4 separate regions of the Mus musculus genome follow, and regions 2, 3 and 4 are each reported to be linked to region 1. The links are microRNA targets in miRTarBase. Many come from high-throughput screens and were not tested one by one. Region 1 holds a microRNA gene; each other region holds the end of a gene's coding sequence.

The links. The annotated mature microRNA mmu-miR-139-5p reads UCUACAGUGCACGUGUCUCCAG and lies in region 1 at 2,313-2,334, shown strand. An mRNA with a match to its seed (bases 2 to 7 or 8) in the 3' UTR can be bound and repressed. Matches are read on the target gene's strand: a 7mer-m8 pairs with bases 2 to 8, a 7mer-A1 pairs with bases 2 to 7 and ends in A, and an 8mer does both.
Region 2: miRTarBase lists Sco1 as a target of mmu-miR-139-5p. Seed matches in the 3' UTR shown: 7mer-A1 at 5,803-5,809.
Region 3: miRTarBase lists Dynll1 as a target of mmu-miR-139-5p. Seed matches in the 3' UTR shown: 7mer-A1 at 2,019-2,025.
Region 4: the mRNA of Msi2 is a reported target of mmu-miR-139-5p. Seed matches in the 3' UTR shown: 7mer-m8 at 5,638-5,644.

The regions. Positions count from the first base shown.
Region 1 is chr7:101,473,070-101,480,069 of GRCm38, forward strand. Mir139 (microRNA 139) reads left to right here and starts at 2,307; the gene lies at 2,307-2,374. All of the region lies in intron 1 of Pde2a (phosphodiesterase 2A, cGMP-stimulated), which reads left to right.
Region 2 is chr11:67,063,213-67,070,453 of GRCm38, reverse strand. Sco1 (SCO1 cytochrome c oxidase assembly protein) reads right to left here. Exons shown (of 6, transcript NM_001040026.1): 6 at 3,014-6,548. The coding sequence ends at 6,414. Among named protein-coding and RNA genes, the nearest start is that of Myh3, 11 kb to the left of the region's middle.
Region 3 is chr5:115,292,649-115,299,648 of GRCm38, reverse strand. Dynll1 (dynein light chain LC8-type 1) reads left to right here. Exons shown (of 3, transcript NM_019682.4): 3 at 816-2,539. The coding sequence ends at 953. It overlaps Coq5 (coenzyme Q5 methyltransferase), which reads right to left. Exons shown (of 7, transcript NM_026504.2): 5 at 4,734-4,822; 6 at 3,872-3,983; 7 at 2,677-3,784. The coding sequence ends at 3,683. Among named protein-coding and RNA genes, the nearest start is that of Dynll1, 4.8 kb to the left of the region's middle.
Region 4 is chr11:88,341,239-88,348,479 of GRCm38, reverse strand. It overlaps Msi2 (musashi RNA-binding protein 2), which reads left to right. Exons shown (of 14, transcript NM_054043.3): 13 at 1,355-1,427; 14 at 3,820-7,241. The coding sequence ends at 1,396. Among named protein-coding and RNA genes, the nearest start is that of Mir378b, 7.9 kb to the left of the region's middle.

The DNA.
Region 1 (7,000 bases):
AAAAGAAGGGCAGGAGTCAGCGTAGAGGAGGAATCTCTCCTCCCTAGGTTTCCTTAAAGGGTTTCCTTGTATGTTGGGGGTCTTCCCCGGCTGGTCCTGGCCTCGACAGTCCTGTCTCCTATCCCCTTCTGACTCTCACGTGTTTCCTTGTTTCTGAATTGGTCTCTGTCCCTGTATGTCTCATACTCCCATTCTCCTGGGATTTGGGGAACAGTTGGGACGAGCCAAGTTGTGAGGATGGAGCCAAATACAGTCAGAGGAGGAAGCAACATGAGGCTGTGGAATCGACATACACCAAAGAGACACACCAAGACAAGCAGACACAGAGGTCCCTGGGGAGGTACTGGGAGGGCTGGGGACACTCAGGACCAACCACCAGGCAGGTACCATGGGACACTTAGTTCTCTGCCCAGCACCCCTGGTCAGCCCTCCCTTCCTGCCCTTCTGTAAGCCATACATCGCCCTGTGTCAAGTCAGTGCCATTTAGCATTTATTATCTATTGTGGGCACAGGAGGGAAGGGGACAATGGAAGAGCGGGAGACAAGAGGCTCCACCCAGGCCTAGAGAGAGACACCCAGTCCCATTCCAACATTGGAGAGATGACAAGTCTATCCCTTGGCCAAAGCAGGACTTGAGAAGTCCAAAGCCACAGGAGAGAGGGCCTCGCCCCATGCCTTTAGGGGAGAACCTGGCTATTTTTTTTTTTTTTTGTCTCCTCTGACCTTCCATACACCCCATACCAAACTGGGCATCCAATGTCATGACACCTGAGGTCTAAAGACGTTGGTCTCATAGGAATTCCCAGGAGGACTGGGGTGGAGACAGGTGTTCCCCATGTAGATGACGTCCTTGAATAAGAGGTGCTGCTCACCTGCTCTTCCTGGGACCCTAGGCTTTTCCCACTTGGAGATGATCCTGAAGAGCAGAAGGTCTCCTGGCTTGCCAGATACCTTGAAAATGCTGTCAAAAGTTCTCAGGGAAAAGCATCCTCTCATTCCGTGGGCTGTTTGTCTACGTCTCTCATCACGCCAGACTTGGGATACAGAGACCGCCATTGTCTCCCCACCTGGGACCTCCAGGAACTCCACTTCTCTGCTCAGGAGGTCGCTGGCCTCCACCATTTCTGGGCTCTCATTGGAGACTAGATGATGCTAAGAGCAGAAGAGCTATGGGACAATCAGGATGCTGTCCTTTCCCCCAAAAGCTCCTGGCCTGATGGGGGAGCCAGAGAGGGCAGTGTGGCAAGGTGATGACACACAGCACCGGGAAGGAGCATCCATCAAGTTGTGAGGGTCCGAGTGAGCAGACCATCACTGGCTCTCTCACCCACCCACTCTTGTCTGACCATATCTTTTCCTTTGGCATACTTCCCTTCCTGACACTGGTCCAGCTAGTCACTCGACATTCCTTTCTCCTGAGTGGACCATTATGTCTGACTTGCAGAGGCTTCTAGGCTTGCTGGGTCAAGCTCTGGTCCTATCTCCAAGGCCACATGAGAGGTGGGGTCGTAGACATTCAGGCTCATAGAAACCGGAGCAGGAGGCCAGCCAGTTCACCGAGACCCTTTCTCGGGGTATTGATTCCCAGAGTCTCTTCTTTCTTGTACACCCTGGGGAACAGTGTACCCAAGCTTCCTTGATGCCAAAACATCTCCCCAGACACAGCTCTGAGTCACAGATACTCACCACAGTCCCCAGTGACTGTCCCACTGTATTCAATTCAACTCTCATGGTCACAGAGGCAGGAAGGTTAGAGACCACAGGAAACCAAGATGACGGGAATTGTGAGGAGACTATGGTGACATGTATGGGAGCTGGGCCTTACTGGTTAGAAACCTGAGGGCTATGGGGACAGAGTGGTCCTACTGTGTGGAGGAGGCAACTGAAGATGGGTAGGGTGAGGAGAAGTCAAAGTCTGACCCAACTCAACTCATCTTAAAGCTTCCAGGCCAGGGCCATCACCTCCTCCCGATACTGGGCTCTTGTCTCCCTCCTCTTTCCATTTCCCTAATCTTTCCCTTCTAGACTGGAGAGTAGACTGTCAGTCTGAGAGGACTAACAACCCCTGCCTTCCCACCTGGCTGCTTCTCCTCCTTCCCACTCTCTATCACCACACTTGGCCCTGGATGGCTTTAAAGGGGTCAGTACAGTGGGAGTGCCTGGGGTAGAAGTTCAGCCTGGTTGGGGAGGAGTGGGAGGTCCAGGGGGGGACCAGCTATGGTAAGGGATGAGAGAAGCCAACAGTTGTCCCAAGGGTCCCCCTCAGGGAGTGGAGGTTCCCCTGGGAGGCGCCAGGACAGGCGCAGGTGTATTCTACAGTGCACGTGTCTCCAGTGTGGCTCGGAGGCTGGAGACGCGGCCCTGTTGGAGTAACAACTGAAGCCAGAGTCTTCGAAGGGTGGTGGGCTAAGGGGGAAGAGGGCATGGTGGGCAAAAGAAAGGGGGTGGGGGAGAGAGAAAAGGAGGACAAGGGGGCCCCTTCCTGTAGTACTTGGCTCTTGAGCTGCAGGTGGCTCCTTCCACGTGCCCCTGTGTCACCAACTCAACGATGGCCACAGCTCCTTTTCTCCTTTCTCACCCTTATGCCTCCTCTCCTTGGGGATCTTTCTTGTGGAGTCTCTTCATGTGGGGGTAGCATCCAGCTGTCCCCATGGCTACCCTCACTGGAGAAAGGATCTACCTTCCCTACATCCCGGTCTTTACACCCCTGTGCCTCTAAAGTGGGGTGAGTGAAAGGCACGTCTCAGGCCAGCAGCAGCTAGAAATTGGGGAGTTGGTAGTGCAAATTCATCAACCTCTTCCCAGACCAGCTGATGCAGAAATTCTGGGGTGGGGACAGCACTGTGTATTTCAACAGTCCTCCAGGTGACTCTGGGCCATGCCGTACTTTGGAAACCACTGAGGGACATCTGCAACCACAATCAGTACCTGAGAAAGGTACCTTCCCTTCCCCATAGCCAGAGTCACTCAGGGCTTATGAGGTGGCTCACTTGGCATCTGGGTTGCCCAACATCACCTAGTCTCTTTCCTTTCCTTTTGCTTCTGGCCCAGCTCAGCCTTGCTACTGGGAAGTCGTGGATGCAAGTGTTAGCACACACAAGCAGCTCTTGTAATATTTTCAGGTGACAGGTCTGTTAGAAACAGCTCTTTGGGCAGGTGGCAGGCGTGGGCGGTGGGGAGGGAAAGGAGCCACCTTCTCCTGCTTCCTCTGTTTTCTGCCTTGTGTCTGGGCAGCTGTGAAGAGCCAGAGAGGAAAACTGGGCTTCTGGACTTGGGCTTGGGCTAGGGACTTTCCTATTCTGAGTTTCAAGGAGTCCTCTTAAATAGTTATACTAAGTAACCTAGCTCTGGCTAATGGAGGTGTGCCCTGGGCATGGAGATAGATGCACTCCCCATTCTCCAGGAAAGATTAGGAAATGTGTGCATTGCTCTCCAGAACAAGAGGATGGAGACAGAGAGGGGGGCAGGTGGCATCTGCTCCAGGCTCCTGGTTTTCCCTACCGTGACCACTTTCTGGCACCTCTATTCATGGCTGCATTCTGTCTGTTGATGTTCTCCCCCCATGTTCTCAGGATGATTTCTTGGAGATCTGGGGGAGGAGTGGGCAGGAGAGACAGGAGTGATTGGGGTGGGGATATGCAGGAAAGAGAAGGAGGGTGGGCAGAGAAGCCTTCCCGGAGAGAGAGCCAGGATGTGGAGGTGGAAATGACATGGCAAGACAGGAGAGCAGTGTGTGACAGATGGACATCGCCTAGGGTATGATGGGGAGAGGCAGAGAAGCACTCGGAGGGACCAGAAGAGCCTGACCCAGAGGGATGGAAAAAAGCAGACAGGCAGAGGAGCTCCCAGGGAATCTCCCTTTGGAGGAAGATATCAGATTCCAGTCTGTGAGGTCAGCCCCTAACCTCAGGCCAGGAGGAGACACAGAGCAAGATGGATCGGCAGAAATGGTTCCAGGGTACAGTTTGGTTCTTACTCTGGAGTCCCATGTTATTACTTTCTTGTAGGGAGTCCAGGTGCCAGCAGCAGGGCGAGCAGATGGCAGGTTTGTGAGTTAGGAAAGTCATGGAGGGTTATAGATGCAGAATAAGACAGCATCTTCTGTCAGTGACCCCTTACTCAAGGCCATCTGTCCCTAAGGATGGCCCCAAAGGAGAGAAGACCAAAATTTCTGGTTTCATATGATCTTAGGAAGGAGTTAGAAGCAATTCAATCTGGGCCCTCTGCTCTCCCCAGTCGAACACACAAATGCTGATTCAGGCCCAGGTTTCAGAAAACTGGCAACCGCCCAGGTTTCAGAGAAACCCTGGTTCCAACAGCATTGTCCCCTTTCATGGTATCTAGGGAGAAAGACCAGCACACAGGAATGGCGCTGTCTGCGGTGCTGATGGCAGTCTCAGCCCACAGCAGCAGGTAGAGAGCCGCAGGTAAGGGAGCTGCAGAGAGCAAAAGAACTCTGTCCATTCTTCCACCTACTGTCCACAGACTACCACTGACCCTCCACCTATTTTCCTACCCACCCACCCACCCACCTACCCACCTGCCTCCCCTCCATTTCCTATCTCTTTACCCATTTGTCCACCCACCCACCCATTTCCCTTTTCCCTACCTATCTACCCACCTATCTGCCATCTAACTGCTCTAATCATCCATCTATCCATTGATTTTTCTCATCTGCTCATCTGTTCACATACCCACCATCTTCCCATTTTTTCAGTCTTCTATCTACTCATTTTCTACCCACTTGCCTATCTACTCATCCATCAACCCATCCATCCATCCATCCATCCATCCATCCATCCATCCATCCAGTCATGCACCCATCTACCCACCCACCTATTTTCCTAATTACTCACTCATCTACCCACCCACCCATTCCATGCATCCCTCCATCCACCTACCCAGTCACCCTCATCAAATTAGTCCATAAAACCACAGAACTAGAGGTGTCGCAGAGTGGAAAGACTCTTTTACATTCAGGAGGAAAACAAGGTTCAGAAGAGAAAGGGGTGTGTTCAAGGCCACATGGAGCTTCTGTCGTCAATCTGGGACAGGGCTGGAAATCATTGCTCTTGTCTATACGCCACAGGTTCTCCCCTGGGGTCTGGGAAATTGCCTGGTTGTTATGCTGATATTTTGATATTTACTCTGGTGTTTGTTCACAAAAGCTGCAAGGACAGGAAATGTGACAGCCTCCACCCACAATGAGCAAGGACTCTTGTGTATGTGCACACGTGCTATGTTCCCCCACCCCCGTGTGTGTGTGTGTGTGTGTGTGTGTGTGTGTGTGTGTGTGTCTGCCTGCATACTCCTAAATACTAGTCCTGACTGTACTCATTGGACGTATGACTGCATTTCTCTGTCTGTGCCTATATGAGCCATCTACATGGAGGTGTGAGCTAAGGTGTACACTTGACAGCCTGCCTATGTGGCACATGGTTGGGAGGGGGCGAGGGAGGACAGACAAACAAGTGGGTAAAAATGGCTGTTTTTCCCTCCCTTGAGAGTCCTGGGGTGCTAGGACTGTTTGAGGCTGGCTCCCTACTGTGCCTCCATTTCAGAAATTGCCCCATTTCCTCTTCACAGCTGCTCCCTCCCCCAAGGCTGCAGTTCTGTCCTGTGCCCAGGCAGGATTCGAATGTAACTCCCCTCCCCCAGCTGGTGTAGTGGAGGTTAAGTTACTCTCAGACCCTTGTGGTGGGGTGAGAGGTGGGTGTTCATTTGTGCAATTGGCATTTCAGCGAGCTGTACAGGCCCCTCTGAGTGGCCTGTTTCCTTCAATCGTTCCCACAGCTAACACCTCATTCTTGAGCAGGTCAGACTCCAAAGCAGATGGAGAGATGGCTGCCAAGCCCGGAGCCTCAACTCTACTAGTCTGCATCCTACTTACCCGGGCAAGGATGGAGAACCCCTCCTTGCTGGTGCCCCAACTCTCCCCAAGCTATCTTACCTCATTCCCTCTACCACCATCACCACCACCGCCATTTTCTTGCCCTTGGCCTAAAAAGGCACAGCAAACTGATCAATCAGAACAAAGGCCAGACAAGTAGCAACCAAATGGAGTAAAGGGCAGCTCAAGGCATCCACCAATCAAAGCAAAGGGCAGGTTGGGGAGCTGGCCAATCAGAACAAAGGACACACTGACTTCTCTAAGCCTTTGGGGTGGGAGATGGGAGTTGGGTGCTGTATATGCTCAGATAAGGAGGTTTGGGTAATCTCTGGCCCACCACAGATGGGCCATTGTTTTTCTTTGAGCCTCAGTTTCTTCATCCCTCAAATGGGGAGACAGCTACTGCAGCCTGTGGCTTCAGAAATTTCTCTTGCATGGAAGGCTTCCTGCATTGCAGTGGCTGCCATTCCCATTTCCCTAAGCACACCCATGGCAGATGTCACCAAAGTCAGACGCTCTCTGGGTCCCTCTTGGCAATCCTCCTGCCTTGAGACAGGAATAGAACTCCATGGACACCAAGACTTGGGGCCTTGTCCTTGAAGCTCCATTCTAGAGAGTGTGGGTCAAGAAAAAAATGTGGGGGGGGATTTTCTGGGTATGGAATCTTCCCTCTGTGGTCTTTAGCCTTAGGCTTGGAAGCACATAGAAGCCTGTGACAGTGCTGATGTGGGGGTCTCTGGTCTGCTACATGAGAAAGTAGCTGTTGCCATGAGAACCTAGAAGGGTTTGACATCATACTGGGTGTCTTCAAGGATATGGGGCTCTATGTAAAGGCAGCACTGATGCCTGAGGGTTGCAAGCAGGCAAACTTAGGGATTGTGTTGTCTGGAATCAACTGCTTCCAGGGTCCACAGTGGATAGATATCAACCATGACCAAGATGCAGTACACCCTGACAGGTGGGAGAGACCAAAGCAAGGTCTGGGCAGGGCAGGGAAGGCAATGCCTGCGATTCTCCCTCCCACTGGGAAAACAGCACGTGTGTGTGTGTGTGTGTGTGTGTGTGTGTGTGTGTGTGTCTGTAGCCAAGGAGACTTGGCAGTGGCATTTG
Region 2 (7,241 bases), not on the chromosome of region 1:
TTCTCCCACTTCTCCCTCCCTTTCACTCATCCGGGAAAGGAGCTAAAAGTTACGGTTTAACAGCCAGACCATATGCCTTCTTCCAGTCTGCTAGGTCACTGGAACTCAGGAAATCTCGTGATGGTGAGGAGGGAAGGTGGGGGAACCCAGATAAAAACCTAGGGAGAAAGCTACATCTTTCCAAATCACCGGCTCATGCAACCTCCTGCAGGAGATTCCCTGGTGCCCTTGGATTCTAAGGAGGGGGTCTAACTCAGCCCCCTCCGTCCTACAGTTCACTAGCGTTACCTTGGGTCATGAGACCAAGGCGAAGCATGGTGGTGCACATTTTTAATCCCAACACTCAGGAGGCAGACGCAGGTAGCTCTATGTGAGTTTCAGGCCAGCCTAGTCCTACATAGTGAGTTCCAGGACTTCCAGGGCAATGTAGAGAGACCCTGTCTCAAAACGTCTACATTTTTTTTTTAAGAAAACAATCACACATTTTATTCTAAAAGACAGGCCCATATTTAGGGCCTTGAGTAGGTTGAGGTGGCAAATCCCCCATAGAAGGTTCCTGAAAAGGAGGGAGCATGTAGAGCTTGGGGACCCCTTTGCTCAGGTTTACCTGTGGGGTGCTGGGCTGGTTGGAACGTCAATAACCCCATAACCTCAAGAACTTCTCCTACAGAGTGAGGGAAGCCAGAAAGAGAGAGAATTTAAAATCAGCTTCATGACTATCTTAAAAGATTGATAGCAGCCGGGCAGTGGTGGCGCACGCCTTTAATCTCAGCACTCTGGAGGCAGAGGCAGGCGGATTTCTGAGTTTGAGGCCAGCCTGGTCTACAGAGTGAGTTCCAGGACAGCCAGGGCTACACAGAGAAACCCTGTCTCAAAAAACCAAAAAAAAAAAAAATTTTTTTTTTAAATTTTAATTAAAATCCAACTATGTCACTTTCCCCACTTCTATTTCCTCCATAAGCCTCTCTAATGCCCACCCTTACTCTATCTCAAATTGATGGCATCTTATTACTGTTACATATATAAATGTGTGTATGTATATATATACACACACACACACAACCTGCTGAGTCCATTTGGTGTTGCTTGTGTGTACATGGTTTCAAGGCTAACCACTTTGCACTGGGTAACCAACTAAGGGGCTCCCAATTTTCCCTTCCTCAACAGTCCTTAGTTGCCTGTGAGTCTGTCTGCTAGAGTTGGGACACCGTGCGGCTTCCACCTTCTGAGTTCGCATGATTATTGTTATTGTTGGAGCTTTGTTTAGGCAACTGTATTGTCGAGGTATCAGGTGCTGCTTCCTTGTGAAGTTGGATGTCTTGTGTCTGCTGGGCACTCATATTCTCATCTTCACATCCCTTTTCCTTTCTCTCGTGTTTTTTTCTATTTTTGGAACTTTCATATGTCAAATGTCCTAGTAATCTTGTGCGTGTGTTACCAATGCTTCACTCATTTGTTCCTGATCTTATTTGAGCCTTGCCTCAATCCCAGGGAATAGGCAGAGCAGGTGGCCATATCCCCACTTAATTGATGGGGAAGCTGTGACTCAGCAGGAGTGCTGCACAGGGGGATGGGCTGTGGTGAGGTCCTGGTCCTTGCTTCGTGCTTGGTGCAGGACCTCAGTGCCTCAACACTGAGAATAGCCTTGGATTATGGGAGAAACAAATCTCCCTGGTAAAGTTTAAACTTACTAAATTGACCTTAGTTTTTCTATGTAAAATTAAAAGGCAGAGGGGGGGGTAAACTAATAACTATAACCCCTCATCTCTAGCCTGTCACTCTGTCACTTAACGAGCATAAGAGACACAAGTCTGTAGGTATGCTGAGGGGAAGTGTTGCCTGTCACAATAGATTACATTCTCTGGGGTGACATGGCAACCTGTCACCAAAGGCATTGCTTCCAGGGTCTTGCCAGGCTGTGCATGAGGAACCCAGCATATTATGCCTCTCTCCAGTCAACAGCAACCGAGCACACAGGGCAACAGCGAACCCAGCAGCTCACTTTCATGGCTGGTGGGAATTAGATCAAGATGGCTACTCCTACAACCCCTGCAGGGGGATATTACCAGCGAATCACAGCAGATACCTCATCCTGCTCTTATCACCACAATCTCTCTCGGCACCATGATGTTGGAAGAAACTACAAAGGGATTGAAGTCAACACAAGAGATCAACTATCTTCCTTAGACTTGACCACTTTTCCTAGTAATTTCTTTTTGTATGTGGTGTGTGTGTATGTGTGTCTGAGGATTCGTATCCCCACGTACACACGTAAAGACCAGAGGACGACACTGGTGTCCTGCCCTATCTCTTCTGCTTTATTTCCTTGAGACAAAGTCTTTCTCTGAATCTAGAGTAAGGCTGGCACTCAGCAGGCAACACTTCCCCTGAAGAAGGCAGAGCTCTCAGCAAAGTTTAACAAACCCAAAGGGTTTGTTTGAATAGTCAGAGTCAGGGCCCATATGCAGGGTCTTCCATTCCCATTTCACGGCATAGAGAATCAATGGCTCCAGAGACCTCCAGTCCACCCTAGAGGTCAGCAACCAAAGCTGTCATGGCACTGAGAGGCAGTGAGTTTGCTCATAGGCCTTTGGGGAGTCTCATGGAAGAACGGAAAGAGACAGCTGGTCAGTGTCAGCCTAACAGTGAGACCACTCCAACGATCCTTGTTCCCATTTAAATTCCTTTTTTGTGGAATGGGCTGGAAACACTACTCTTACAGTCCAGCCATCTGAAGTATTCCTGGGTGGGTCTGCAGTTGGCAGCTCATTATCCATTTTCCATGTGAGGATGATGCAAATTTAAGAGCCCAGGCAGAGTAAGAAAGAGAGCCTTCCCCTCTGCTGCTGCTGGGCACTGAGGTCTTGTGATGGTCTTGAAGTTGTCCTACCATCACAGTATCAGGTCCGCCATTGTAGTGGTGTTGGAGGAAGGGCCCATGTAGGTCCTTTTGGGTTTGTTGAAAAGTTAATAAAATGTTGGCGCACATTGCAAATGTAAACTATAACATGGTATCAGTTTATACTTTATAAACAGGATGTACATACTTTTGCATAGTCATATATGTTTACACTGTCTAAAAATGTAAATGTATAGACAGCCTAATTTTCTCCCACACTGCTGTGCTGTGAGCCTGAATTTGGGGGAAATGCTCTGGCCTCTGGCGTTCTTGAGCATCCAGTTTTAGGTCTAGTCTACACAATGATTTTAGTTCTTCCCGTCTTCTTTCTCTAGAGCTTCAACGAGTGAGCCTTTGTTTCTTACAACCGTAATACCCAGGAATGCAGTTATGACATGACAGCAAAGGCAGAACACATACAGTCATCACTAGGCTTCACCAAAAACATAAATACTAACACCAATGGATAAGAAATGATTATGAGTCCAGAAAGAAATTATATATGAATAACTTCAGAAAAAGCCCAAGAACATAAGTGCATAGTTCAAAAAAGAAGAATAACAAGTAAATTATAGATGGAAAACATGGCATTACTAGTGATCAATAGTAAAAATTAAAACAATGGAATTTTGTCTCAGAATAATACCCATTAATGATGACTCTTGCATAGAACAAGTAGGGAAATTATGGAAATTATGGGTGGTGATGTTTGCAATAAGTAATAAACCATTCTCTTCCCTTTGGGTTTGTTAAACTTTGCTGAGAGCTCTGCCTTCTTCAGTCTCTTTGTCCCTCTCTCACCTGGGGTAGCCTGCCCTTGCTATTGTGCTAAGCTAGAGCACGTTGCTAAGAGTTGAAGTCTTACACCCCAGACATGCTTTCTTTCAAGGCCACTCATAGGAATTCTTCTGATGTGTTTTGAGGTGTAGATTGTAGACAGTGGCAGGATACATCCTACACTTCCAGGTATGTAAGCCACTACATAGTTCAAGGCATCTCACTCTGGAAGGGGCTTTGTGTCTGCTTCAATTGAAACCAATCACACCAAGTCCTGCTGGAGCTGTGCACGTCTGGTTTGTGCTCCCACCATCTGATGCCTTCCTAATGCAATCCTGGTTTTACAAAGAAAAACCCTAACAAGCAGGTTGTTGCATTTGTTCTGGTCTACACTGAACCCTACTCTACTTGCTTCTTCCTTGACCTTAGCGCAGTATACACACAGTTACAGTATGATATAGAGTGACCGATGCAGAACCCTGAGATAAAGACATTAAATGGCTACTTAATGTCTTAAACGTCTCTGAACAGGGTGGCTGGAGAGATTGCTCAGTGGTTAAAGAACACTGACCGCTCTTTCAGCAGTTCCGAGTTCAATTCTCAGTAACCACATGGTGGCTCACAACTAAGGAATGGACTATACTGGTTCACTGCAGCTGACTGATTTAACAGAAAATAATTGTTTTCTTAAGGTTCTAGAGACTGGCAATCAATGATGGGGGTGTCAGGAGTCGGTTTCTTCTGAGGCCAGGGACAGACAACTGTGCTTCAGCCTGCTCTCCTGTGTTCTAATTTCCTACCCTTTTAAGGATATCAGTAGGTTTGCTTTAAGGAAGAGAAAACCTAACAGCTTCATTTAAACCTTATTACCTCTTTAAAGCCTTACTCTCCAGCTGTGTGGGGGTGGTGATGCCTTTAGTCCCAGCACCAAATACTACCCAGAGGCAGTGGCAAGTGGATCTCAGTTCAAGGCCAGCCTGGTCCTTACAAGTTCTAGGACAGCCAGGATTACAGAGAAACCCTGCCTCAAAAATTTAAAAACAAACCAACAAATAAATAAATGCCTTCTTTCCACATTCAGTCACATTCTGAAGTGACTGATCCAGGACTTGAATATATAAATTGTAAATGACATGATTTGGCCTATAACAAGTACAGGTGTTCTTTCATGGTGACATAAGTATTTTCATTAGGCTTCATGTAAGTACCAAGAAGTTAAAAACCAGAAGGTAAGCCTTTATTGCTTGCATATAAACTAATCTGTGTTTGGGAAGAATGGTTTCCAGCAAGGCTCATTTGTAGCATCTTTGGATTCATTAAAAAGGTTCAAGTTGAAAAGGAGATAGCCAAACCCAGGTATCAGGGAAGTTTAATTCAGAAACAAAGCCAAGATTCATTACTCAGCAGGCATCGTCTTTCTTACTCTCTTTTTTTTTTTTTTTTTTTGGAGACAGGGTCTTATTAGGTAGCCTGGTTGGCCCAAGACTCTCTATTAGACCAGGCTAGCCTCAAACTTGAAGAAGCCCCTGCCTCTGCCTCCCGAGTGCTGGGACTAACAGTGTGCACACCACACCCAGCCAGACGACATTCCCTGGAGTAGCTGCTGACACCTTTAAGAGCTGGTTATGCTTGTTACTTCTCTATGGAACAGATGACCCAGGTGTGGGCTCAGGTCCTCAGATCTCAGTCACTTGCCCCTGGAGACCCAGGTCTCTGTATCCCACTCTGACTCAAGAGAGGCCAGTTCCTGGCCTGTGAATCTGCATTTTAACAAGCACTTATCTATTTAACAAGCACTTCAGTCTGTGGCCTCTACCCCTACCATGGTGTGCTAGGGACCCATTCTTCACAGAAGCAAAGCCATGCTTGTCCAAGTTGCTGGACTGACCACATCTTTTATTTCATACATTGTGTAATCTGGTACATAAAAATTACCAGATCATAGACATGATAAATATTCTCATTTCCACGTGGTCTACCACTGAAAACCAGTCAAACCACTTAGCTATTAAAAAAATAAAAAGGATTAAAAAAAAAAAAAAAGCTGGGCAGTGGTGGTGCACGCCTTTAATCCCAGCACTGGGGAGGCAGAGGCAGGCAGATTTCTGAGTTCGAGGCCAGCCTGGTCTACAGAGTGAGTTCCAGGATAGCCAGGGCTATACAGAGAAACCCTGCCTCAAAAAACAAAAAATAAAAAATAAAAAGGTGGAGAATGAACCAAAAGTTATGTGCAAACAGTAAGTTTTCTCCTCCAGCCCAAAGCAGCACCTACTGTGTGACAGAGATGCAGACCTGATGGTGACATTCCTTTTCAAAGAAGCTAAGCTTCTACTCTCAAATATAAAGAGGACTTGAATGCCTATGCTGAGCACACAAATTGAAACAGCAAGAACATTACGGAAGTGACACCTTCCTGTAGAATTTGGCCCCCCTGAGCAAGAAGACACCGGCAAGGAAGCAACACTACTCCAAGAGTGCCATTCCTACAGATGTGCATTGTGTGCCTCTCTGATGGTTCTGGACGTCTGTTCTCCACTGGCTCTGACCACCCTGGCCCTTTAACTCATGGTAGTTTCCTGGCAGACTGGGTTGGCTGAGCCCCAGGGTAACATCTCATGTAGAATGATGTTCTCAGGGTATGAAGTCCATGTTGTATGTTACAGTATATAGAGGTTCCTCTGGGAGACAAAGCTTCCTCTTCAGCAAGCCAATCCTGCATCTGGTGACACGGCTCTGGCTACCTCTTCTTCATGTGTGACCTCATGTGTGCAGCAATTGAGCCGGCTATTTCTGCCTTCTTCTTGTTTTGTCCAAAATAATCAAGAAATTCTCCATCTGGTCCAATCAAGTACATTATTATTGTATGATCCACCTGTAAAGCGGAAGGGAGAAAAGAATGTGTGAATAAAGATTACAATCTTATTTTACCGAGGAGAAAAATGTTGCAGGGTAAGAGAAGTTAGCATCAGTATGTAAGTAACCACAGCAGTTCCCAGTCACCAACGCATGGTCGACCAACTGGGCCTGCACCACCTCCAGTGCATGCAGAGCCATGGTCTAGAAATGGCTGCCCCTGGGTCCAGCCTGGGATGCTTTTGGTACTGCTCTTTACATACCCACTGTACAGTCTCTGAGAGAAGACTGCACCTCCTACTAGCCTTCTAAGTAGCCTATGCTGTGGAACAGCAACACTATTTTGAAACACTTTCCACTTCTGACTGGGAGTCTCTCATCTGATCCCTTCTCCACTCATACTTGTCACACAGGAGGCGAAGCAATGGTCAGTGAGTGCCTAGCAATGGTCAGTGAGTGCTGAGGTACCCGCCCTTATGTTTAAGGACCTGCCTACACTCTGCTTGCCACACTTTATGAGAAGCCAGAAAACCAACCACTAGCTGACAAATGTGATATAAACCCTAGTAGTGATTTAATCCGATATTTGAGATCCCAACAAAAACTGTAGGATATTTTTCTGCTCTGGGAAATTTGCATTTGCTATTCTGAGCTTGTGCTCTGAAGCAAACTGCTTGGACACTCCCCACCAACCCAAAGGCTACTCTTTAGG
Region 3 (7,000 bases), not on the chromosome of region 1:
GCCCTGGTTCTATCCAACTAGTGAAGAAATGAACACATTGCTAGTTTTAATGTCCATGGGATGGGAGAATCAGGTAGCAGATGCTCTCTAACTTGCTAATTTTTAAGACTGGGTAGATGTGGAGGAGAGCGATTTTAAAAGATAAAGTCCTGGCATTTAACTGTCAGGTTCTGTTGCATTTTTCAGCCTGGCTTGATTTATGTGGTAATTGAGACTTTGTCCTTTGGTCTTTGGGGGGGGGGGTGGTGGTTGTCTTCCTGATTTGGGGTGCATGGCAAATACAGTGGTGGAGCCTGATGAACTGCAAATGCTGATGTCATCTACCTCCATCGAATTGCTGGAGTCAGAGGTGAGGTGCAGATGATGGGTCTTTTAACCCCCCAGCACTAGGAAGGCAGAGGCAGGCAGATCTCTTTGATTTTTGAGACCAAACCAGTTCTAGTGCGGTCAGGACTACAGAGAGACCCTGTCTTTAGAAAACAAAACAAAACAAAAAAATCAAAGTAGTCCAGAAGTGCCCTCATTGAAACAGAACTGTCCTTGAAAATGACCTTCTACCTTTGATCTTCTTAGCTCCCATTCTCAGTTTACCTCAGACTGCAAGCACGTTGCATTAGGTAGATGATTTAAAGCCAGGGAACATTCTCTTAAGAATTTGCTGGGGCTGTGGTGAGCGCTTGCCTGCATGCCCATGCCCTGGATTCAGTCCCAGTGTGGAGACAATTACAGATGCCAGGATTGCCCTTTCTGGTCCTACAGGCTCTGGAAAGTGAATCCTCCAGGTGTACCACTAAATTTCTGTTTCTTCTTCCTAGGAGTTTGACAAGAAGTACAACCCTACCTGGCACTGCATTGTGGGCCGAAACTTCGGTAGTTATGTGACACATGAAACCAAACACTTCATCTACTTCTACCTGGGTCAGGTGGCCATTCTTCTGTTCAAATCTGGTTAAAAGCATGGACTGTGCCAAACACCCAGTGATCCATCCAAAAACAAGGACTGCATCCAAATTCCAAATACCAGAGACTGAATCTTCAGCCTTGCTAAGGGAACACCTCGTTTGAATCTGTTGTGTTGTGTACAGGGCTTCATTCTCTGTACAAGTCTGTGGTTATAAAATTAGTAAAACAGCTTACATTTGTATTTATTTTCTAGTCCATACTTCTGTACCCCCATTTTTTTCTCCCTTAGGTCATTCCTTTAAAAATAAATCTGTTGGAGATGTATGTCTCTGCTAGTTTGTTCAAGATAGGGTTGATGAGGCTTAGCAGTTGGTAAGTGACTTGGTCTGTTGTCTGAGGTGTTCCTGTTCTGTAGGATTAGTTTAGTTCTCTTGATGGAATGTCTGGCAGGCCACACCTGTCTTTCCAGATGATTTGGATTATTAGCCACAGGTCTGAGGCCCTGTTCCTGTCAGCCTAGCACTTGGGAAGCTAAGGAAGGAGTAGAGCAGGTTCTAGGCGGCCCTGGATTAGCGGACCGACCACAAGAGTTCATTTGCTAGGCTGCTGCTTTCACTGGCTGTGCTCAGAAATCATCAGTACATGTGAGTCACAGCTTCACTTGGGGACCTAATGAAAGCTATGGGCCCGGAGTCACCAAGTTGCCCCGTTGTCAGTTGGAGCTACTGTAACCCAAGGAGAGGCCTGCATAGGAGACTCCTGCAGGTAGAGGCCCAGGCAGCCAGCCCACACTTCACTATGCTTCTTACGGAGAGCCTCAGGACAGCTTTGTAAGCTGAACTTGGTCAGACATTGTGTTCTGTCAGGACCAGGAGTGTGAGACTTTGCTGTTGGTGTGTGCGCAGTCAGTGATTCTCTACTGTGTAGATTCTAAGACTCAGCAGCAAGTCTATTCCATAAGCCATCTTGCAAGCCTGTTTCTTTGTGAAAGTGTCTTAGGAAATCCAGTCCTGGCCTCAAACTATGTCATGGTTAGGGATAACCTTAGTGTTCCTTTTTGTTTTTGTTTTGAGGCAGGGTTTCTCTGTGTAGCCCTGGCTGTCCTGGAACTCACTCTGTAGACCAGGCTAGCCTCGAACTCAGAAATCCACCTGCCTCTGCCTCCCGAGTGCTGGGATTAAAGGTATGCGCCACCACTGCCTGGCAACCTTAAATGTTCCTTTGTCCCTGCCAAGTACTGGGATTGCAGATGGGCACCCCTCCTGATTGTTTTACCGTTTTGTGACAGTAGACATGCCTCTCCTACTATCTGCAGAAACAATGGGGTACTTGGAGTCATGTGACCACAGATAGGGCAGTTAAGTTTGTCTATTTTGAACAGGTAAAACTGTTTGCATGAATGGAGTCCCTCTTCCTCCTTGTGACCTGACTAGTTTTGGCCATCAGACTGTAATTGCTAAGTCTCCAGTAGCAGTCCCCAGTGCCACGCGAGACCGCGTGGCTGGACACTGAGAGTCTAACTTGATCAGGCTTTGTTTGCTGTCAGGAGCTGGTGACTTGTATTTTCGGGTTCAGATGTGAGAACATGTTGCTATAGAAATAAAATTGGTTTGATGGTGTATGGAGTTTCTCCCAATGCTGGCTCAAAAACAAAATACAACACTGTCTAAGGTTTAGCATTTTCTCATGCTCTTTACTGCTGTTCTGAGGTGAGGGCTTGTGAGATCTATAAATGACCCCTAGTGTGTTGGGCCAAAAAGTGACATCTGAGGACCTTTCAGATAACCCTACTTTATTATATATTTTTTTAAACAAATGTTTGTATAAAGCCTAGTGTCAGGTTCAAGATACACAGAAAATCCCTTAACATCACAATGGAGGGCAATGAGATCAGGCTCTGGCTGGTCTTGGAACTGGAGGAACTGGGCTATATGCATAGTCTTATTTTTTTTTTCTTTTAAGCTTCTCTAGAGAAGTATGAGCTCAACATGCAGTCCCGCCTGGCCTGGAACTCGCTCTGCGGGCTTGGCTCAGCAGTGGCAGTGCTGAGATGGCACTTTTGTGATTCTTATTTAACTTTTTATGTATGTCAACGCGTGTGTTTGTGTGTGTGTGTTTGTGTGGGGGCATTGGGTTCCCTAGTAAGAGTTACAGAGAGTTGTAAGACACCGTGTAAGTGCCAGGAGCCGAGGGTGGCGTATATCTGTGTCACCTCTTCCAGGAAAGAGTAACAACCACACCCAAATTGTAAACTTCACTGCTTCACAGGTTCCTACTTCTGTTTGCTTCTGCGGAGCACCAAACCCAGGGCCTCCACGGGCCAGGCATGTGCTCCACTGAGCTGTACCCCTAGCCCCAGATCTCAGAGGTGCTCACCGCTGGGTGCCCACATTGTCAGCGTTCTGATGTGGACCACCTTAGATTCCAATCTGGTCTGAAGAGCTGGTTCAGATTCTCCTTGGGTTCCAGTGACCCATTACCCCTCTAGAAAACATCTGTCATGGAAGAAACTATGAACAAACTTGAGAATTGCAATCGTGCTGGTTTTACCTGACTCCCACACTGCACGGCTAAGCCTCTAGCTGGAGTCCAGCAGAAACCAGGCCAGACATTTCTGGGAGAAGGCCTCAGCAGCCTGGGCAGCTACTAATGAGAGCTAATCCAAAGTCTTAACGGCCGTAAGAGGAGACGAATGGTCAGCTACTGTCTCATCAGGGAGATGATCTGGCCCCGGGGTTCAGTAGAAATGACTGGCCTGTGTGCCACAGTAGAAAAGGAGCTAGAGTTTGAAGCCAGAGTGAATGGCCACAATCCCTGTAGTCAGGTTCTCGTACGTCACCCTCTGAAAGCCTGCGTCTTCAATCATGTCCTTGAAGTCCTCCTGAAATGCAAGAAAAGACACATGGGATGCTTGGGCTTCACCTTCGGGGACTTTGTTGTACGCCACGAAAGCTTTAAAGCTTTGTACCTGATTTGGGAACTTCCGAATACTTTCCACAAGGTATTGGTAGGACTTCCAGTCTCCTGCAATGACCTCACCAATGACAGGGATGACCTGGAAGCTGTACAGATCATAAAGCCTAAAAAACAAAAACAAACAAACAAAAAGATTTAAAGCAGGATCTGGGCTTATTTCCTGGCTACTCCACCAGTAACAAGGAAAAGTGTGTTTGTGGGTGGGGTAGCCTAGTGTACAGAGTGAGTTTCAAGACAGCCAAGGCTACACAGAGAAACCCTGTCTCAAAGAGAGAGGGGTGGAGAGAGGGAGCCTCCTGTGGGATGCCATCCTTTCATGGCCATCAGGACACTGTAGGCAGGGGTCGCTGACACAGGTGTCTACAGAGGTCAAGCAAGTGCCTGTGACAAGGCAAGTAAGCAAAGAGGAAGGCCAGGAGGCCCACAGCGTGGGACAGAGCGCCAGGAAACTGGAGGAGAGGCGGCTAACCTTGCCTCTGATCTTTGCCTGGGGAATATGCTCTGTCAAGCTTGTGACATCTGCTCTATCCACGGAAGCTGGAAATCAATTGCCTGAGTTTAAGTTTTTGGTTGGCCAGTGGGTTGGGAGAGTCTCATTCTACAGACAAGCCAGGCCTGGAACTCATTATACAGACCAGGCAAGTGTTGAACTAGAGGTGATCCTCCTGCCTTAGCTCCTGAGTAGGCCCGTGGGTACTGGTTGAGGGTCTTCTGGCCTCTGCATCTCCACTTGGGGCTCGCTGACCTCTGAGCTCACACTCAGCGCCTGTGGGGCTCACTGACTTCCTCCTCTCCTCTTTGGGGTGGGGAGCCTTTGGTGGATAAGTTTATACAGCCCTGTCACCAGCGCTAACCTGGATATGAGAGGGTCATTCACTTGGCCAAATTCCAGACAGAGAAACCGGCCTCCTGGCTTTAGGACCCGATGGGCTTCCTGGAGAGCCTGGGAGAAAGAGCGAGAAAAAGAGAAAACGAGCCTCAGCGGGTCTCTCCTCAATTCCAAGAGGCAAAGGCTGGTTGTGCACCACAGACCACTGCAGTCAATGACTAGAGAAAGCTGCTGATACAGACAGAGGACACAGCTCCAGGAGTATAAAGCTTAGAATTATGGGTCACACCTCTTCCAAAACCTTTTTTTTTTGTTTTGTTTTGTTTTGTTTTGTTTTGTTTTGTTTGAGACAGGGTTTCTCTGTATAGCCCTGGTTGTCCTGGAACTCACTTTGTAGATCAGGCTGGCCTTGAACTCAGAAATCCGCCTGCCTCTGCCTCCCGAGTGCTGGGATTAAAGGCGTGAGCCACCACGTCCGGCCCCCCAAAACCTTTTTTATGTGTGGGTGTTGTGGCAGCATGTCTGTGTACCCCGTTGTATGTGGTACCTGCAGAGGCCAGAAGAGGGCGTCATATCCCCTGGAACCGCAGTAGAGACAGGTGTGAGCTGCTATGGGTGCCAGGAATGGAGCCTGGGTCCTCTGGAAGAGCAGCCACTGAGCCATCTCTCCAGACCCCAACAGAACAATTTGAAGTAAAGGAGTCTATCTGACAGAAAATGACATGTATGTTGACAATTCATTTTATTCTTCTTGTTTGTTTGTTTTTGTTTTTGAGATAGGGATTCTTTGTGTAGCTCTGGCTGTCTGAAACTCACACAGTAAACTAAGCTGGATTCCAACTCACAGAGATCCACCTGCCTCTACCTCCTTGGTGGCTGTACACCACCACTACCAAGAGTTTTATGTGATAACATGAAGGGAAATCACCATATAAGCCTGACCAATGGCTCAGGCCTGTAACCCCAGCAGCTTGGGAGACTGAGCACAGAGGATCGTAAGTTTAAGGCCAGTCTGGGTTACAGAGCGAGTTTAAGGCCAGGTTAACTTAACGAGATTGTTAATGAGCATATATAAAAGCCCCAAGTTTAACCTTATGCACACAGGCATACACAACCACTGGTTTATGTTGTGTGTGTGTGTGTATGTATGTGTGTGTGTATGTGTGTGTGTATGTGTGTGTGTATGTGTGTGTGTGTGTGTGTTTCTTTAGATGCTGGAGACTGAACTGTATGCTCTGGGTACATGAGATCCTGCCTCAAAAAAGCAAAAGCAGTATGATGGGGGAAATGTTTAGCACGATAATATCTGAGCAGTGATGTCACACACCTCTGATCCCAGCCCTGGGGAGGCAGAATCAGATGAATCTCTGAATTCGAGGCCAGCCTGGGCTACACAGTAAGTCAGATGGTAAGTCCCATGCCCTATCAATAGACTACTTCCTGCTGATTAGGGGCATCAAGTTCCTTGGGACAAGTTTGATCTTCGCAGTCAGGATATCTGATTCCTTATTCTTCTTTTTTCTTTGCATACGACTACTTAATAACTCACAATCAACAACCCAACCTGCCTTTTGGGGAACTAGCATTTATATATTCTCTGAAAAGTCACCAGAATTCCCAACATCACCCACTGTAGAAATTATATGCAGCTGGCAAAAATCACACCCCTCCTAGGGCACAAAACAAACCACAGTCAGCTGCTGTTAACAATATGAAGCAGCCCCATATCCCACACCGGGGATTAATATGAAAACATTCTTGTATTATTTTTGTGTTTTTCAAAGAAACCAAGTTCTCACTACACATAGGAGTTGGTTCTTTCCTTCTCTCTGCCTTGTATGTCCTGGGGATGGAAGTCAGGTTGTTAGGTTTGGTAGCAAGTGCATTCACCCTGCTCGCTTGCTCTGGTTAGTTTCTCTGTGTAGCCTTTGCTGTCCTGGAGCTCACAGAAATCTGCCTGCCCCGGCCTCCAAAATGCTGGGATTAAAGGCTACCCTGCTCTTTTGATCTTGGGTTCCAAGTCTTATAGAGAAGAGGAAAGAGGTGTCAGAGAGGGGGAAGTAAGGGAGAGAAAGAAAACCAAAACAAAGAAACAGGGAGGAAGGGGTGGGGGAGGGAGGGGGACGCCCCCACACTCCCAGGAGGTGTGCACACACTCAACTGATCATGTGGGGTTCCCACAAGGCTCCACTTAAAGGTCCACAGAACCTTTCCACAGTGTCACCTTCAGGTCTTAGCTAAGTACTACCTGTATTCAAACCAGAGCAGTCAATACAAACGGCGTTCTACCCG
Region 4 (7,241 bases), not on the chromosome of region 1:
TCGCCTCTGCTGTCCACTAGTGTCAGTGGTGCCTGGAAGATGGTAGGGGAAGCCCCTTCCCAGGTCATTTCCTTTGCTAATGTTTCTTCCAGCTTCCAGGTTCCAAGTAAGTTCCTATTTTCAGTCTTTAGCTGCAGCTCCCCAAAGGCCAGATGCATTTGATATCTGTGATGCTCTGTGGTTCTATAATCTGACTAATCCAGGCAATGGAAATTTGCTTAAGAGATTTGCATGCTGTTTTCAGATCGTATTGTTCTTTTCCCTCCTGGTGTGTGAGCATGAATGTGCCTGAGCCCACTCGCTGGCTGGTGCCCCCTCCGGTTTTATTTTTTTTTTGTTTTTTGTTTTTGTTTTTTTGGAAACAGAAACCACCCCCAGGCCAGTCTCTGCCCTAGCCAGCCTCATTCTTTGGGAGGCAGTTTGGTTTTGAGTTGAGGTGGGGGTGTCTGCTATCCCAGGTTACATCCTGCATCAGATTCTGTATCTGGGAGAAAGCAGGGAAAAATCTGCCTTGAGGACCATGTGGGGGAGACCAAAGCCATTGCAAGGGCCTGAAGAGCCAAGGCAACTTCATGGCTCCTGGCATTGGAAACACACACGCACATGCACACGCGCGCACACACACACACACAGGCGTGCACTGTCTTATACATTCTCACACAGACACATATTTGTGCATGTTAGCCAACCCTGGCCCGTGCTTCCTGAGACCTCTTTCAATTCTGCTCCAAAGCCAGTATTACTCGAATCAGTAGTTTGATGAGTCTAATCCCCTCGGATCAACTGTAGTACCAAATCCAGAACATTGTTATTCAGCCCAGAGCTGCACCAATTTGGGGGCTGGTCAGTCAGCACTCAGGACACGACTCGTTTCCACTTTCAGCAGCGAGAAACACACATCCTGTTTGTTCTCGAAAACCTGGATCTTGGGATCTTCACACTGTGATGTTATTTCTCAAATAATCACACAGGCCATCAACGTTGATCACCACGGACATTTCTTCCCCCAAATTAATCTGTTGAGATCCTTGTATTTGCCCTGTGGGGTCCATGGCCACTGTTGTGGTCATTTGTTTGAGGCATGAGCCCCATTTTTCCCACCCACTCACCCCTCAGAGTCTGGCTCTTGGTTTCCCCTTGGGAAGCAGACGAGCGTGGGTGGGGGGATCTCTGGGCAGGAAAGAGGGAGCTGGGGACAGCATCACCCCAACTCCCCATGGCACGGTGTCTCAGAATTACATATTCATGCTGGCAACCATCAACTGTAGTGCTAGAGGTGATCTCCTTTCCCAGGATAAGACAATCTGTTCCCATGTATAACGCGCTGATGGACTTAACACTTGTGCAATTTTAGGGACCTTTGATTGCAACGGCCTTTACAAATGGATACCACTGAGCAGGCGCTTCCATTGCCGTCTCACTATGAGGTATTACCATCTCTGCCGTGCGTCTCCGCCCTGCCCGCGTGTCCGTACACATATGTGCCCATACGCTCATACGTGTACACACATGCACATCACATCACATCTCTTTCTTCTCTCGCTGAACCCCCTTTCAAAGGAAGAGGGATCAAAAATAAATCCAGTATCTTTATTCTCTCATTTCCTCCTCCGGCTTTTAATCATGGCACTCCTCCCCCCCACCCCTTCATTTTGCTCATTTTTAATTTGGTTCTTTTGGCTCTGTTTCTGTATCTTCTCCACCCTCATCTTTTTCCTTCTTGAGTGGGAAACTGGAAGGTGATCTCATTTTGTGTCCATTCCAGGAAGGATGGAGGCAGGTAAACTGGTCTTATGCCAATCCTGGGGTCGGCATGGGGAGCAGAACCATTCTCAAAAGTCCTGTGAACTGCCCCGTAGGTTGCCGGGACTCTCAGCCAATGGGGTTCGTGCAGCCAACCGGCCTGACTCCATCTTTGAGTGAAAGGAAAACATTTTTTTTTTGCCAGTTAACTATGGAGTAATTATCAAGATTACCACACGAAAAGCAAATTAAATTAACAGCATCACCTGCCTAACGTGAATTTGGATCCCTGCCAGTTTCTTAACCTTTTAAACTGAGCTCAAGTTAATTAAACATTTTTAAATCACTTTGATGGGAATCCAGAGGTGGTGGGAGAGACGGGAGGGAGGCTGGGCAGGTAGCGAGCAATCCTCTTACCACATTCTCCAAAAATGAGTATCAGGTTGGGAGGTGTGCCAAGCAGAGGATTGTCATCCTTGGGGAAGCCCAAGGTCTGTCCTGTGCTGGCATGTAAATCAGAGGGTGAGACAGCGATGGCTAAGGCCTTGGAATAGGTCCTACGTGGGGAATCCCAAGACTTTTCACTTGGAGCTAGGGGAAGGAAAGGCCAGCTCTGGGTTTGTCCACTCTCTTGTAGAGGGGAATCTTCTAGCTCTGGAAGCAACCATGACTCCGTAGACCAGGACCATTTGAGAAACCCATTTGAGTTGAGCTCCACAAATCTTTAAGCTCCGTCCTTTGTTGCTGCTCCACTAACTCTACTGCCTCTCCTAACCAAGTAAACCCTCTATATGAATGTTCCCACCCCTCACTTCCATTGCCCTCCATCACTGGCCAGAGCCAGAACCCACTAACAGCCTGAACAAAAGCTACTCGCTACTAATAAGGCTGGATCTTGGGGCTCGGGGACAGTGAGGTTCCTCTGAAAGCAAGGAGGGCTGATAGGACCAAGAACTCAGAAGGCTGAAGATGGCTTCAGTGTCTAACAAAAAGGGACTCAAAGGCTGCCTAGGCATAGCAGGTCCTCCCTCGGGAGTCCAGCCACTGGGTCTATCAGTATCTGCTCCTCACCCCAAGAGCCCCCTCCCTCATATGACCTCACCCCCAGTTTATGTCCATCATTCAGCTTTAAGACTCAGTTTCTACATAAGGATAAAGTCATCAGGAGGGCAGCAGTTCAAAACCCACTCCTTCCGGTCAAGTCACATGATTGCATAGCAGCTGTGGAAGACTAGGCAATCATATCATTTGTCTCCGGCAGAAGTGACCCTCTGACATGTAGTCACCATCCACAGAAGAGCCCAGGCTCACAGGCCATCTAGGATCACCCAGTTAGCAAGCCTGAGTCCTGGGTCTGTTTTGGTTTTCTTGGACCAGAGCTGGTTATTTGGTTTGGTTTGGTTTTTTTTTTGGGGGGGGGGTTGTTGTTGTTGTTGTTTATGTTTTTATTTTTTAAATAGTTATATCCATCCCTTAGTATATAATCTCTTACTACAGATTCACATTAGTTATTAACAGTTAACAATAGGTTTCTCTCCCACCCCTTCTTTTTTGGGTTTTCAAGATAGGGTTTCACAGTGTAGCCCTGGTTGACCTGGAACTCACTCTGTAGACCAGGCTGGTCTTGAACTCACAGAAATCCACCTGGCTCTGCCTCCCAAGTGCTGGGATTAAAGACATGCACCACCACCACCCAGTTGGCGATATTTTTTTTTCTTAAACATAGGTTTAAAAACAAAAATTTAAGCGGAAGGGTTTTGTTTTATCAATGTGTGATTTGACCAACTAGTGGAAACCTATTCTGACTCCACCTCCCTCCAGGATCTCCAGAACTTTCCAGCCCTGTATCAGATCTATCTGTCAAGCACAGCCTAGATATCTGGTTTACCAAGCTAGGAAATCAGCCATTAGCCCAGCTATTTTTTACACACACAGTCACATAACTTAGTCTTTGACAGCTGTAGTTTTGTAGTTGAGACCTTGGCATGAGCCATATGTGTGCCTGACATTTCTCTTCTCCCTCCCACCCCTGCTCTTTGTTCTCTCCGGGACGCGCCTGACCTCCCTACACTACAGAGCATACCTGGATGTCCAGGCAAGACTGGGCGAAGTTTCTGAGTGGCCCTTTGTTTAGGTGACGTCCTCAGACCTGGACCCCCACCAGCCTCACTCCTCATCCCAACCAGAGGTGGCACACTTGGATTGAGGGTTGACACATCTCATCTCACCCATCGGCTACCTGCTGTAATATAAGACAACAGCTTTTAAACGTGTATATAATCCATGATTTTGGTTTGGTTCTGTTTGTTTTCCTTGGTGGTCCCCCTCTCCCTCTTCCCTTCTCCTTTTAAATCTCCCTCAATCACATTTGGTAGTGATTTTTGACTTAGTCTGGTAGTCACCCAGCTTAATATCTAGTTAAAGCTAACCATAGTATACTTGTTATATATTAAGGAGTTTTTTTTCTTTTTTTTTGTTTTCTTTTTTCCTTTAAAGAGAATTTTTGTTTTGTTTTGATTCTGTTCTCGCTTTTAAAGGATGCTGAGATGGTGATGTTACTCTCCATTTTTGGTACCAGTTCTGAGACTGTAAGACTTTTCATCTGGGACTTTAGCACACACTGAATCGAAGTTGTGATACGCGGAGCGGGAGGTGGGCATAGACTCTATTTTGTGTTGTAGAAGTGACATACAGTTGGCTGCTTAACAGACTCTCTAGCCGTTCATTTTTGTGACGTCTCTTTGTTAACCTAAGTATATCTATTTTCGGCAATAAGGTAAGGACGGCCGTGTTTTGAGGGTCTTCCTTTCCTATGAGTGCTTTTTCTTTTCTTCTGTTCAAAGAGGTCATATTACAAGGTTTTTTGAAATTGTGAATTCTAAAAAACAAAAAACAAACAAAAAAATGTTGTAAATATAATTCCATTAACTACATAGAAACTATTAAGGAAGAGAGAATCAAAAAATATTTTTGTGAGGGAGTTGATCCTGGGCAGTTAGGTACCCTGGAAGGAGGGGAGGGAACCTCGATGAAGCCAGTACAACAACAGAAGAGCCCCCCCAGCTGCCAGGGCACCCCAGACCCCCACTCTTCACTGTTGGTGTGATAGACCTAAGAACCACATTAGCACCCTGCCAGCCTACCAGCCTCTCTGTGCACAGCTTCTAATGTTATGATCTAGCTAGATTTTTATTTAAAATATGAAAAACTGCTTTTCCCAAGACGTTTTTTAAAAGGAAAAAAAGCTACAATTTTAATATTTGACATATTTAAAGTTTCAAAGCACACTTGTTTTGGCTTAGGGGAGGGGCAGGGTGGGGTCATTCTTTTTCAGTCTTAATTTTTAAATATCTGATCATTTTATATTGTCCGATCATTTCAGCACCTCCAAAGGGTCCTAGGATATTCTGCCTCTCTCTTCACCCTGTCCCCAGACGGGGGAACCCGTGGGTCAGGCGTGGATAAGCCTGCGAGAATACACCCTTTCTCCATTCACTTTCTATTTACAAATTAGGAAAGCAACCTTTCAGTTTATATATATATTTTTTTTCCTTTTTGATACCTCAGTGCTGCAAGTATCATCAGAGAGGCTATGGAAGAGTTTTGTGTTTTGTTTTTTGTTTTGTTTTTTTTTTTAATTTATTGTAGATGTAAACAGAATTTTAAAAATAAAATATAAACATCACTGCACTGTGACTGGTGGGGAAAACTGACAGCTTCCTGTTTGTACACATTTGACATTGGCTGTTATAATATATGGTCCTCAGTTGGGGAAGACACTTAGAATGAAGGATGTTTTTTAATTTAACTTTTTTTTTTTTTTAAAGAAAAATATCAGTAATAGGTCGGCAACAGCAGCCGTAGGAAGTACAACTTAGGGTAGCATTAAAGCATACTGTAGTGTGGATATATTTTTTTTCTTTTTTAAAATGTGATATTGACATTTTATTAATATTTTTTAAATTGTTACGTTTATAAATTTGGTACTTAAGGCACAGCCAGTGTGAGGCACTGAACGCGACATTTATTACAATGAGCTGCTGCACTCCTACTTTTATAAATTTTACTAACAAGTAGACTAATGTAGACATTCACAGACGGGATAGCGCAGAAGCATCTTCACACGACAAGTCTCCAAAAAAAAAAAGCTAATTCAGAGAGGGCGGGAGGAAGCCTGTTCCCGTTCTAATTAAGTGCAACCTTGTTTTATCTTATTGTTTTATTTTTTAAGAAAGGAAATCATGTTCTTTTTTTATATCTCTATATATAAGATACAGAGTTGTTTGGTAAGGTTTGGGGTGTTTTTTGTTTTGTTTTGTTTTAAGTTTCCAAACAACCAAACTAAGAAAAATGCTGGATGCTTTTAGAATACAAAACTTACTCAAGTCATAAAATAACAAAATAGAACTTTTACTTTAAGAAACAACAACAAAGAGAGAGAGAGACTCGATTCCCAGCAAGTCAGTGTCTCACAAGGGCACTGGCTAATTACTCTTCTGTCCGCGTTGCTGATGTCCTGTCCCCAGCCCCTGTCCATCTCCCCCACACTCCCATCACCTCATAGAACGCTCTTTGTTGATCATTGTCTGTTAATAATGTATAAAATGGCTATCTTGTAAGTGTGCTGTCTTGGTACTAGTGTAGTGACTTTTTTTCTCCTCTTCTAGTACATATTGATAGGTATAATGTAATTAAGGTTTTAAAAAAAATAGACATAGTTATTCAGATTAGGACCAGTAAGGATAGAACTTTCTCTTATTTATGAAAAGAAAAAAAATGCTAATAATTTGGGGGCAGTTTTTTCCTTTTTTTTTTTTTCCAAGTTCAAATTTACTTTTATTTTTGCTGATTTGATGTGGTTTCAACTAACCCAAGGTCTCACAATGTTCAAATGGCGGCTGACTCTACAGCATTCTGTAGGTCCCTGCCCCCCTAGCTGAAGGGGTGTGCCATACTACCTTAAATGCAAACACTAGATATGCAAAACTGGATTTTTTTAATTTATTTTTTAAAAGAGGGAGGTGTGGTATATTAAAATGATTTTACTAAGAGAAAAAAAATATTTTTTTAAGGATGCTCAGAAGAAATTGATAATCTGTGTGAATATGTTTTAGATGTTTATATACATTTTGAAGAGACCCAGTAGCCCATAGCACAAATCTTGTGAACATCTGATATGTTTTCAAGTGGCTACCTAGGATAAGGTTCATCATTAGTACCCCCACCCCCACCCCACCGCCATCTAGAAGTCCATCTTAAACAATTTTTTGTAAATTCTTTCAGCACTGGTGTCCATCTTTGTCTTTGTTTCAGTTAAGCTCAATAGCGAATGTGGGACCCCCTCCTCTGACCTTCCCTGGGGGAGAAACCCTCTTGGCTAATGGCTCTTCCCTGGCATTATCAATAACCACCCGGGGACTCTCTGGCTTTCAGATCCATCTGCCTGAGACCCCAAGGTCCTCTCCTCCCTAGAGGGGAGGTGGAGCAGCAGTTGACTC